3 linked regions of the Sus scrofa genome follow. The protein of the gene in region 3 binds, or shares a complex with, the protein of the main gene of each other region. Links are inferred from orthologs where the notes say so. Each region holds a gene or a part of one and is shown on either strand. Other genes may lie near its edges.

Region 1 (3,001 bases), on a different chromosome or scaffold from region 3:
ATGTGTGGCTCTAGCGTGCAGAAGGGAGCATCCTTCGGCCTCCCGGCCTTCCCTTATCGCACTAGCCCGTCCTTCCTGTCCAGACCCCAGAGCCCTTGTCCCTGACCCCAAAGTCACCTCCCCATCAAGAGAGTGGAGGAGGCCCAGCCTGTGTCGCCTGTCCTGCTCCCCTTGGGGATCTGAGCCTGTTCTCTGACCCCAGCTTAGAGGAACTCGGTGTTGCCAGGCCGGGGAGGGAAACAATGGGCCTTCCGGAGCAGGATGACACCACCCCCTCCCGGACCAGCAGCGTGGGAGGGAAGATGGGGCCCACCCTGGGGCCTGTGGGTCTAAGGCTCAGCCTGTCCCCCATCCCCACCCCCGAACCATAAGGGCACCTCTGGCAGCACTAGACGTGGAAGGAGCGCTGAGAGTGCCCCCGACCTCAGATAAACCTCTTCTTCCTCTAGGGGGGAGGTGTGCAATCCTTGCCCCCCGCATCCCAACCACACACAGACACAGGCCATGTCAGTGACAGGTTTAATGAAGTTTGAAAGGCATGCGCGGTCGGGCTCAGAGATAGGGAGGCCCCGCCAGGCTCTCTCTTTGCACCTCAATAGAAACGATGTGGTGTCCAGGTACCATAGCTAGGCCCAGCACACGGGGTTCCCCGGCAGAGAAGGAATCTGGAAAGAAGGATCAGAGCATCAGGGAGGCAGGCCAGCGTCGGTCCCGCCCCTTCTGAGCTACAGCTTCTGGCCCCCGAAAATGAGGGATACAGCCAGGCCCTGAAGGGGAAATGCTCCGAGGCATTCCCAGGCGGGTATGCATTCCCCAGGCACTGACCCGACGGCTTGAGGAACTCCTGCGCCGAGCCTAGGATAACATTGCAGTCGCGGTCGGTGCAGAGGAAGCAACCGACCAGTGTCCGTCCATCTGTCATGCGAATCCGCATAGTCTTGTTGAGCAGCGCCTCCAGCTGCTGCCTAGCGCGCGCAGACGGCGAGTCTTCGCGCTCCCCGTCTGAGTCCTGCGCGGGGCGGGACATGTGCTCAGACCGCACCGCCCCGGCTGCTGCCCGCCCGAGGAACCACAGCTCCCAACAGCCCGCGGGGCGCTCGCAGGAAGCCCAGAGGCTGCCGGGAGCTGCAGTTCTCCCTCCGTCCTCCCACTTTACTCCCCGACGGCCCCTCAATCCCAGAACCCGAGCCCGCGCTAACCCCGGCGCTGGAGCTGCTTTGACGCCGGCTGCAACAGCCATTCTCCTCTCGTAGCAGCATAGTTGGTCCAGCTCCGGCCATTTGTCCGCGGGCCTCCTCCAGGCCCTTCAACTTGCTGAGAACCTTTCGGCTCCGGGGGGTCTGAGATCTCGCGAGCGCTCCCGACCTGTTTTCTTTCGCGAGATCACCTCCCCTCCTCGTCTCCTCGGCAACTGCAGAGATCTCGCGAGCGTCTCCTGCTTCGGCGAACGGCTCGCTGAGGTCTAGGTCGCCGGATGTCCTCAGATATCGCGAGAAGTTTTCACCTCTCTCGGTTCTTACATATCCTTTAGGAACCCTGGAAGGAAGCGAGAATACCTTTTTTCTTAATCGCACTCCCCACTCCCTTGTTTTTCTGCCTCGCGAGATAGTACGTCCCAAGCACTCCCTATAGCCCAGGCCACTCAAAATTAAAACGGAGGGTCTTTTCCTCCCCCCGGAACTCCGGAGGACACCACTCAATTACTTCAACGTCGGAATCGGACCACGTTTCCCGTGAGCCCCACCTCGCCCTCACAGCGTCTGATCTTGACAGACGGTGGCCGGAAAAGGACAATGGTTTCCATGTCAGCGGATAAACGCCCTCTCCTTAGTTCCCGGACGAGAGGGAGGATGCGGTAGTGAGTGCGCGCTGAAAAGCAAGAGCGCAACTGAAGGAGCCGGTGAGAGGGCGAGAGCCATGCTGCGCCGGGGCCTAGTGGCCGGGCCAGACTTTGAGTATTTCCAGCGTCGCTATTTCACGCCGGCCGAGGTGGCCCAACACAACCAGCTGGAAGACCTCTGGGTGTCTTACCTGGGAAACGTGTACGACCTGACGCCGTTGGCACAGGAGTACAAGGGTAAGGGCTGCACTTTTGGGCCGGCGTCGGGCGTGCGTTTGGGGGTGCTTGGTTCTTGGGTGTCTAGCACTGACACGAATGCCCCTTCCCAGGAGACCTGCTGCTGAAACCCATCGTGGAAGTTGCGGGCCAGGACATCAGCCACTGGTTCGACCCAGACACCGGAGACGTGAGTTCTGCTGGAACCTGGGGTTGGGGGGAGGGGCACTGTAGAGCGGGGACGAGGCGGAGGGGCTGACCGGAGCCCGAGATAGTGACTGCTCAGACCCCCCTCCGCCAAACCCTACTTTAAAGATCCGCAAGCACATAGATCCGCTGACCGGTTGCCTGAGATACCGCACCCCCTGGGGCCGCTTTCTGCACGTGCCACCTCAGCTGCCGCGTTCGGACTGGGCCAATGATTTCGGGAAGCCTTGGTGGCAGGGGTCGCGTTACGAGGTGGGGCGGCTGTCCGCCAAGACCCGGACTATCCGCATCATTAACACGCTCACGTCGCAGGAACACACGCTGGAGGTGAGAACTGGTGCCTGGGGGCAGGTGAGAAGGAACTGGGAGTCCCAGCAAACCTCCTCGCAGATCTGCAGGCCAGCAGCTCTCCGTAACTAGTGGCAGCTGTATTTTTTTTCCGCTTTTACGGGTGACCAAGGGAAGAAGACGACCATGTAGGTCCCCGGGGTTAGCAATTCGAGGAGTGGCTGAGCCACAAGGTGTGAGAGACTCCCTCAGAAGTCCAGGGTAGTTTGGGCGTCGTAGTTTGGTCCTCCCAAGTTCATGTTGAATTTTGAACAGCAGTTGCAGGTGGACTCTCTTATTAGCCTGCTCTATTGTGGAGATGAGGTGAGGGGGCAGTGACTTTAGGGCCAACTGTTTATTAGAAGTGGCTGCCCTAAAGGCTGGTAGGATTTGGGGGCCATTCATTGCATG
Region 2 (4,136 bases), on a different chromosome or scaffold from region 3:
ACACAGATCATGTCTTAGGTTTTCTATTTTGATGAAATGGTTAGAATCCTGTAAGAGCAGTTTTGTAGAATATAAAATAGTTCCCAGTTTAAACAAACATACTAAATTGAAATTTAGCAAAGTGAACACAGAAACTAGCAGAACCATCATAATCTAAAATACTGAAGTTATATTTTCAGATTACCACCAACCTGAAGAATCAAAAAGACAGATTTCTAAAGTACTGTTAAAGCATCTTGCAGGGCATTAATAAATGCAGGTAAGTCAATTTTAAAACAATAAATAATGGTAGTGGCTTTTCCCTTCACACATAATAAAATACTCCTTAAAACCATGTGGCCTCTCCTTGATAAAATTCAATGGAAATGACACGCTTGTAAGTACAACATACAAAGCACATACCTGCTGTCAATATTTAAGTGAAAGGTTTCATACAGACTGAAATGGGTCAATATTACTGGGAAGTTATTGGTACTATCAGTACTACAAAAGTTAAAAAAAAAAAAATTATTCAGCTTGTTTGGTAGCCAAGTCTTTTCTACCATATATAAGTAAAAAATTTCTGTCAGTTATATTTCACACAAGCTAGTACTATTACTAGTATTTAGGCATATCTCTGATTTGCTTCTTAAAAAAAATTAGATTAGAAACAATTTCACATGTTTCCTACACTCCCCAAATGGGTATTCCGTTCAAGTTTCAAGAGTCTTTCAGCCATCAGAAGTGTTAGTAGCACCTTCTGAAGTTGTGCACCAGAAAGGGGCTGTCTACAACTAAATTAACTGTCCTGTTAAAGTAAAAGGAAACAATCTCCATAATTATGGAATATGTTTGTAAGATTTAATTCTCCAATGTGGCCACAGAAAGTTTACTGACAATCAAATTCACCAAAACATGTTTATGCATACATACACTCTTCCCTGATTATGGCTGTAATTGAGAGATTAATAAGGCCTGTATCCGAAAAGAACCGTGTTCAAATTAAATGATTGCAAAGTGCTTTGAGTATGAGGGAGGATAATTAAAGACAGTCAAACATGATTATAAGCTAATGCAAACAGGATACAAAGACCCCCAACATACATCATACAGGCTGGTTGCATTTACATCAATATCAAGTTAACCCGGATCCTGAAGTCTTACCTTCAAAACAGTTTCATTAAATAACTAGCAGTGTGTACACGCACTTTACATCATGTAAGGTACTAGGAAAGGCAGTTCACATCCACTGCCACTCCAGCCCTCACACTCCCTGCCCTGTACGGCCTGGATCTCTCTGCTGGGTTCACCCTTTTTTCATTCCATCCACTTACCAAGAAGCACAGCTGTGGCCAGTTGTGAATAAAATATCTATAGGTATAAATGGAGTAGGGTTCAGACAGATCTTTGGTGATCAGTCTCATGATATCGGGCATTTGTAGCTCGGATTCATATCGGACATAACGTATCGTCCGATCCTCCCCAGGCTCAACCTCCCTGCCTGAGGGGCTTCTTATACTGCAGCCGGCGGTCAGGGATGAAGACAGCAGCCGCACCTGCTCGTCCTCCTCCTCCTCCTGCTCGGTGCCCTCCGCCAGTCCATTGCGGGCCGCCGCGGGATCGCTCGCCGCCGCCGCTGCCTCTGCCGGGCTGGGGAGCGCAGTTCTCGCATTATTGGGGAGGCAATGAGGGGGGCCCTCGCCCGAGTGTACCCCGGCTCCTTTTGTTGCAGTCACTCTGGGACCCCCGTCGGGGGTGGCCGTGATCGTGGCCGCCTCGGCCGCACTCAAAACCTTGGTCTTGAGAGAGGTGGCCGCCCGTAGGTGCCGCAGTTCGGGGTTGATCAATCCGTTGAGCTGCAGCTGCTCCTGCGGCGGCTGAGGGCAGCGGAGGCACGGACGCCCCTTGGTCGCAGCCGTCGCCTCGCTGCCCGCCGGGCTCCTGCCGCCGCCTTCGTGCTCCTCGTCGTCCTCCTCGTCCTCGCTGCAGCAGGCGAGGGCGGCCCCCGCCGGGAAGGGACAGCGGGGCTCGGCCGCCGCCGAGGCCGGAGGTGCTGGTGGTGGGAGGAGGCTGCTAGGCCCAGGCGGTACCTCCGCCATCCTAGAGGCGACACAGACAGAGAGAGAAGGCCATGAGACCCAGCCGACTAGCGCGGAGCAGAGGGGGCGAGGGGCGGGGGCGCCGGGGGTTGGGGGGAAACAAAGGCAGAAACCGTCCCTCACAGGGCTGGCCCCCCAATTTCGCGCGCCCCCCCCAGCTCTTCAGCGCCGCCCAGTAGCTCAGCCGGCCACCGTCCTGGTCCGCCCGCGCCCATCCGCCGGGCCTGTCACCGCGGCCTCTCCCCGTCCCCTCCGCGCAGCTCACCCCGCACAGGTCCCCGCCGCCACTGCCGCCACTCCTCTTCCTCCTCAGCCGCCGCCGCCTCCCTCGCCGCCGCGGCCGCCTCCTCCGCCACCAAGGCTCACACTCTACCGCCGTCGCCGTAAAGCGCCTCGGCTGTTACCCCGGGTAAAGTTTCCTGGGCCTGGCTTTACGACACTTCCCTGCCTGCCGGCTGCCAGGGCCGAGGGAAAGGGGCGTGGAAGGAGATGACCTGTGGAGGGGCGGGGACGGTGGTGTCTCCTGCGGGCCTCCGGGGAGACCGCGTGCTAATGGGTGGGGCTGTGGGGTGGGGAAGTTAGAGAAGGCTGTGGAGTAGCTAGCTCTGAACGCACAGTCCTCGGCTTTGGGGCTCCTCAGCCCGTGGACCTTGCAGCCCCGGGCCGAAGAGGGCTGGACGGGACACGCGTTCCAAGGAGCTGCGGCGTAGACCGCCAGCTCGGGGCCTGCTCCCCCGGGCTTGGGCAAATCTAGAAATGCTTTTCCGCAGCTGTATGACGTTTTAACCTTTGCCCTGACTGGGGTCAGGGGGCAGGTTACCCGAGTCCCTTAAAAATGGAGCAAATCAGGAGAGAAAAATCCTTGAAAAGGAGAAGTTAAAATATTTGCACTGTGAAAACATGGGAATAGCTGTTGAAACCTGGTGGTATGCTGTGTGAATTAAGTTTAGGCTTTACCACTTCGAGGCAGAAGAAGCTGCCTCTCTCCTTATCCCCTTCACCCCGCCGAGGAAAACTGGCGGTAAATGGAATTAACAGGTGCTGGGCAGCTGCAAGCATACCTGGGGCAGAGTTACAGATGGTGAAAGAGAGTGATAATAGCTAAGAGGCACATTCCTAAACGTGACCCGAATTGTGATAAGGTGAAAAGCACCGGTCAAGAGGTGTCCTGAACCTCCTCCTTGCCCTCTGCCAAGTGGTCGGCCGGAGCGAGTGGATGCAAAGGGAAGAGAACTGCTGCACGCGCTGAGCGCCAGGCTCCACTCTTTCCGCTCTAATCCCCAGCGGACGGTTTTCAGCCCATCTGTTTGAAGAGGAATGCAGGTAGTGTAACTCACCAGCTCACGGAGCAAATTAAGTTTTTTAAACTGTAGAGCTAGGCAGGTGTGCAGCAGGTAGATGTTTTCAGGGATACAATTCTCTTGAGTATTCGCAACTTTTGCCATAATCCAAACTAAAAAATAAGATAGATTGTAGCATTGCTGTTAGGTACAACTGTTAGGGTCCTTGTCACTGAAGATGTTAAGGAAAAACTATAATCCTCTATCTGGAAGGTCAAACTATAGTGATAAAAATGGTAATAATAAAATGTGTTACTATGTGCCAGACACTGTCCTAAATATCTTACATGTACTCATGTATAGGTTTTTATAAAAACTCATTTGTAGGTTTTTGTAGAAATACATGTGTGCATAGATAGACATGTAGAAGCTTATTTATTTCAGCCTTGTGTGTAGTAGGAATAAATAATTCCAAAGCACCTAAGGATCTATCAATACAGGGATGATTTTATGATACACAAATACTATAAAATATTATTAATTACGCTATTGTTTAAGAGATTGAAATAAATATACATTGGTACTTTTCACCTTAGTATGGCTGCAAATAACCCCCACAACATGTGGTATAAAACAACCATGCTCACAGATTCTGTGGGTCAAGAATTCACACAGGGTACAACAGGGATGACTTTCTCTGCTCCATTATGCACAGAGCCTCAACTGTGGGGATTGGAATCATCTGAAAACTTTTCACTCTTCCTTGGTAGTTGATACT
Region 3 (4,254 bases):
GTAAGGCCCAACTCAAGCCATAAATACTTCATAAAACTTTTCCCATTCAGGTTTATACTGACAGCCCTCTAATACTGATCATTTAAAATCAGTGCAAGATGACAGGTGTGCTCCACTTAACAGTTTAAGAACACTAACTTTCACTTCTTTCTCACTCCTTCAGACAGACATACGTGGGCAGTCACCCAACTCCCAGTCTAATGTTTTTTCCACTATCTCACTCAGGCATCCTTTAACTGGACATGTATTTCAAAACAGTTGAAGGGTGAGCACATGATTTATCACTCTGCGTATACTCAGCTGGCTCCCTTTCCACCTGCAGCTGCTCTAAGTCTTTATTCCTCTCCTTAAGAGCACTATTCTAAACACACTCCAACATCACAAAAAGTCTAATCCTCTTGTTCACTAACAGAAGCCATCAAGGTATGAATCCCTCCACCCTTCCTCCTCACCCACTTAGAAATATACCTGTATCATCACCATCCTAACCTCCGTTCCCCCTCACTATGTTCCGACTTTTTTCCCTCAGGTTAATTTCTCTACCTTGTTCCTGATTCCATCCTCTCTTAAAGTTCCAGCCCTCACTCTATCATTTGTTCCTTTCTCTTATCTTTATTCTTGCCGAGACGCTTTCCCCTCAAACAACAAACATGCTCACTTCGCCAATCATTTATGCCCAAGCATTTGAACTTGACTATGTGCCAGGCAATGTGCTATGCACCAGGATTATTGACAGGATCTCTGCATTCACAGAGCTCATATTTCAGTGGGTAAAGGTGACAATAAACAATAGTTGAAAATGGTTTCCAACAGTGGATAAGTGCTATGAAGAAAATAAAACAGGGTGATTCAACTGAGGTGGAGTTGAATAAAAAAGAATGAGGGAGTTCCCATTGTGGCTCAGCAGCTTATGAACCCGACTAGTATCCATGAGGACGTCAGTCTGATCCCTGGCCCCACTCAGTGAGCTGTGCTATAGGTTGCAGACGTGGCTCAGATCTGGCGTAGGCCAGCAGCTGTAGCACTTGATTCGACCCCCAGCCTGGGCACTGCCACATGCCGCAGGTGCAGCCCATGAATCTGCTTTGATTGGTTGTTTTCTGAAAATCTCACTGTGAAGCTAACATTTAAGTGGTCAAGAAGAAGCCTGTGATGTGAACACCTGGGGAACCGACCCTGATGTGTTTATTAAGGATCTTGGGACCAACGTAATGAGCCCAGTGGAGCAGTGGTACAAAAAACAGTCTGAGCTGTTGGCAGGCACCAGATCATATTGGCCACAGGGAAGAAGTTTAAATTTTATTCTACATACAGCAGGAAGCCAACGGAAGATCTTAAGCTGGGAAATGATGTGATGTGACCATTTTCAAACCTCAAATATACACAAACACTATTGTCTTTGGGGCAACAGAATTCCTATTTCCGCAGTTTGAAATTATTGCTATGTACTCTCAAACTTATTAAAGTTAGAACATGTTAACAGAAGAAACTGCCTCAATGTCTGTATTTCATGATATATATAAACTGGCTTCAAACAAAAGTTAAAATCAGAAAATAGAGAATGAGTGTGGTTAACAAGCTCAATAAACCGCACTTACCTGTTGATTTTCTTTTTCATTTACTGCTACAGTTTAGAAATCACAATCCACATTTCATTGCACCCTTTCTCAAATTTTGAACTTCTATTTCAAAACTTCAAACTCACCTCGACAAGCTTCTTCAAAATCTTGGGTTATGTCCACCCAGTTCGTATTGCTTTTTTCCATCTTTTCTGGTGTACTGAGCTCCCATCCTGAATCATCATCTTCTACAGAAGCTTTCATAACCATTATGCCTATAAAATTAATACTGGTGTAAAAGAGAGGATGTAGCTTTCAGGACAAGGGTACTGGCAAACCATGTGTGTCTGTTTAAGTACTGGATGAAAGTCTTACTAAACTGTCTGGGCAGAGCTCTTTTGAGTTTGTGGACGGTACTGTAAAAAATTACCTTAATGCAATTAAATTTCACGTTAATTAACACTACTGGTCCACCATCTACGAGGGCTCATAAACAAGTTTGCCTATTTCATAAGAAAAATCACAAACCATCCCAGCACTGGCCCAAAGAGAACCAACTCCACTGTTTCCAACTTTCAACGCTGGCCACAAATAACCAAGGCACTCTTCAAGGTCCCCTCTCGCAGCCCAAGACCCCATGCGGCAACCACTCAAGTCAAGGGGGTCCCTCCCCTACCGGAGCTTGCTGGATCAACCTCTCTCCGCTCGGCAGGACCCCAGCATGGCCTGTCCGGGGGGCACCGCACAAGGGAGCGCACCACGGGGTCCCAGCCATCGGGCTTAGGGCGGAGGTGCACCTGAAGCGGGGACCCGGCTCACCCGGGTCAGCCCGGCCCGGTCCCAAAGGCACGGAAGCAAGGACAGAGCTGCCGTCGCGCGGGAGGACGGGCATGCCCGGTGCCAGGTCGTCGCCCGGTAACACTGTGTAAGGCCGGGCCCTCGGCGGACACTGGGGAGCCCGTAGCTCCTACCTGAAGCGCGGCGGGAGGGCCGGGGCCGCAGGGTGACCTGGAGTCCCCCGGGTCTGCCACACGCGCGAGGGGCTGCGGCTGTCGGACACGGGTAGGAGGAAGTCTCAAGGGCTCCGCACGGTGGTTCCTACCTACTTCTCCCGTGGCCACTCGCGCCGCCACACAGTCCGAACCGCGGAAATAAAGACGCCGCCTCGGCTACTGCCGCCGCCGCCGCCGCCGCCGCCCCCTCCCCTCTCAGCCCAGCCCGACCATCCGCGTGCGCGCATGCGTACGCCCAGTGCGCGCGACCCCGCCTCCTCTCCCTCACGCCAGGGGACTTCGCGCTCCCGGCCACACCCCCTTCCTAGCCACTGCCGTCATTCGGCCGTTGGAGGCCATCTTCTCTTCTCGCGAGATTAGAGGCAATCGCAAGACCGGAAGCTATCTTCCTCCTCCAGCCTTGGGCAGCGACCTGGTTAGTGGGTGGGTCCCAGTAAGGGGCGGAGCCTGGGGACCCAGAGCCCGCCCCGCCTCGTCCCGCGCAGCTCCCTGGGAAATTCTTAGAAAGGTGAAGAGAATCAGGAGGAAGGAGTGGAAGTAGGTGTGGACCCTTGATGTTGGGGCTGTGAATGAAGAGCTCAGCTCTGAAAGCTCCGTCGAGTTGGTTTTGCCTGACACTTGATTTATGTTTCCTAGAGAATCTGGGGAGTTCATGAGGAAGAATGGAAACAAAATATCAGCAGAATCAAGTCATTTTCTTTTAGACCCATTACATGGTTTAAAGCTTTCCTAAAATTAGTAAAATGATCATTTTTAAAGTGCAATTAAATAAGTAGACTACTACGGGTAGGAAACAAAATGCATCTTTACCACCACGTTGCCAATAAAATGGCTAAAGTTTAAGAGATGATACCCAATGTTGAGGACACAGAACAGTTGGAGCTCCAATTTGCTGGAGCTGGAACTCAGATGTTGCTGATGGGGAATGCAAAAGGATACAACCTCTTTGATAAACAGTTCATCTTTTACTATAAAATTAATCATGCACTTACAAGACCAAGCCATTGGTCCACACAAAAACTTGTACATTAATTTTTGTAGCTTTAAAGACCAAAAACTGGCAACAACCTTAATGAGCAGATAAACAACTTGTGGCATATCCATACGATGATGTGTAATTATTCATATAATGAATAGTAGTTATTGACAAACAGGGATGAGTACTTGACATGCAAAAATATGAATCTCAAAAAAATTCTGAGCAAAGGAAATCATTATGGGAGTTCCTGTTGTGGCTCAGGAGGTTAAGAACCTGACTAGTTTCTATGAGGATGTGGGTTCGATTGCTAGCCTCACTCAGTGGGTTAAGGAACCGGTGTTGCCATGAGCTGTGGTGTATGTTGCAGACATCACTCGGATCCTGCATTGCTGTGGCTGTGGTATAGGATGGTAGCTGCAGCTCCAAATTTGACCCCTAGCCCGGGAACTTCCTTGTGCTGCAGGTTCTGCCCTAAAGAGGGAAAAAAAAAAATCAGTATGAGCAAAAGACTAGACTATAATTTTATATGTAATTTTTAAAAAGACAAATTTAATCTGTAATGACAGAAAACAGAGCAGTGACTGCCAGAGCGGGAGGAGGTGTGAGGCAGGATTAATTGGAATATGGCTAAGTGATTGGAAGGGATGGAAATGTTCAAATCTTGATCATGGTAGTGGTTATATGGCTAAATTCATTTGTAAAA

The links.
Region 1: the proteins of NAA35 (region 3) and NAA38 are in contact, whole or in part, in a cryo-EM structure (PDB 7MX2), measured with the Homo sapiens proteins. The link is inferred for Sus scrofa from reciprocal best matches to the Homo sapiens genes NAA35 and NAA38. Residues at the interface, in NP_001308810.1 of Homo sapiens: Val30, Asp31, Ile32, Thr33, Phe36, Ala39, Cys40, Leu43, Leu45, Glu47, Leu48, Leu49, His50, Asp51, Phe54, Glu58, Ala59, Ala62, Ile63, Glu64, Met65, Met66, Ala72, Gly73, Met74, Gln306, Arg307, Leu309, Pro310, Pro311; in NP_001307854.1 of Homo sapiens: Ala41, Arg42, Leu45, Glu46, Leu48, Leu49, Arg61, Phe67, Leu68, Cys69, Thr70, Asp71, Arg72, Cys74, Ile77, Arg97, Val98, Leu99, Gly100, Leu101, Ala102, Met103, Val104, Pro105, His108, Ser111, Ile112, Glu113, Val114.
Region 2: the proteins of NAA35 (region 3) and NAA30 are in contact, whole or in part, in a cryo-EM structure (PDB 7MX2), measured with the Homo sapiens proteins. The link is inferred for Sus scrofa from reciprocal best matches to the Homo sapiens genes NAA35 and NAA30. Residues at the interface, in NP_001308810.1 of Homo sapiens: Leu45, Gly46, Leu48, Leu56, Ala59, Met60, Ala62, Glu64, Lys69, Glu121, Phe313, Pro314, Arg315, Ala444, Leu510, Glu511, Leu512, Glu517, Pro605, Lys606, Phe607, Glu608, Leu609, Asp610, Val614, Arg615, His618, Arg619; in NP_001011713.2 of Homo sapiens: Glu221, Pro238, Ser240, Tyr242, Thr243, Arg245, Tyr246, His249, Asn250, Lys304, Ile324, Glu334, Asn335, Leu336, Gly337, Val339, Arg340, Asp341, Lys342, Arg343, Phe345, Arg346, Tyr347, Tyr348, Leu349, Leu359, Trp360, Leu361, Arg362.

What each region holds. Positions count from the first base shown.
Region 1 is NC_010454.4:53,110,744-53,113,744, forward strand, and holds NAA38 (N-alpha-acetyltransferase 38, NatC auxiliary subunit), read right to left. Parts: upstream 1,505-3,001; 5' UTR 1,281-1,504; coding exon of another isoform or gene 1,241-1,280; coding exon 826-1,240; intron 666-825; coding exon 553-665; 3' UTR 506-552; downstream 1-505.
Region 2 is NC_010443.5:186,528,463-186,532,598, reverse strand, and holds the start of NAA30 (N-alpha-acetyltransferase 30), read right to left. Parts: upstream 2,811-4,136; 5' UTR 2,344-2,810; intron 2,080-2,343; 5' UTR 2,079-2,079; coding exon 1,314-2,078; intron 1-1,313. UniProt on the Homo sapiens protein: Catalytic subunit of the N-terminal acetyltransferase C (NatC) complex. Catalyzes acetylation of the N-terminal methionine residues of peptides beginning with Met-Leu-Ala and Met-Leu-Gly.
Region 3 is NC_010452.4:29,319,886-29,324,139, forward strand, and holds the start of NAA35 (N-alpha-acetyltransferase 35, NatC auxiliary subunit), read right to left. Parts: upstream 2,825-4,254; 5' UTR 2,662-2,824; exon of another isoform or gene 2,531-2,661; intron 1,835-2,530; 5' UTR 1,830-1,834; coding exon 1,706-1,829; intron 1-1,705. UniProt on the Homo sapiens protein: Auxillary component of the N-terminal acetyltransferase C (NatC) complex which catalyzes acetylation of N-terminal methionine residues. N-terminal acetylation protects proteins from ubiquitination and degradation by the N-end rule pathway.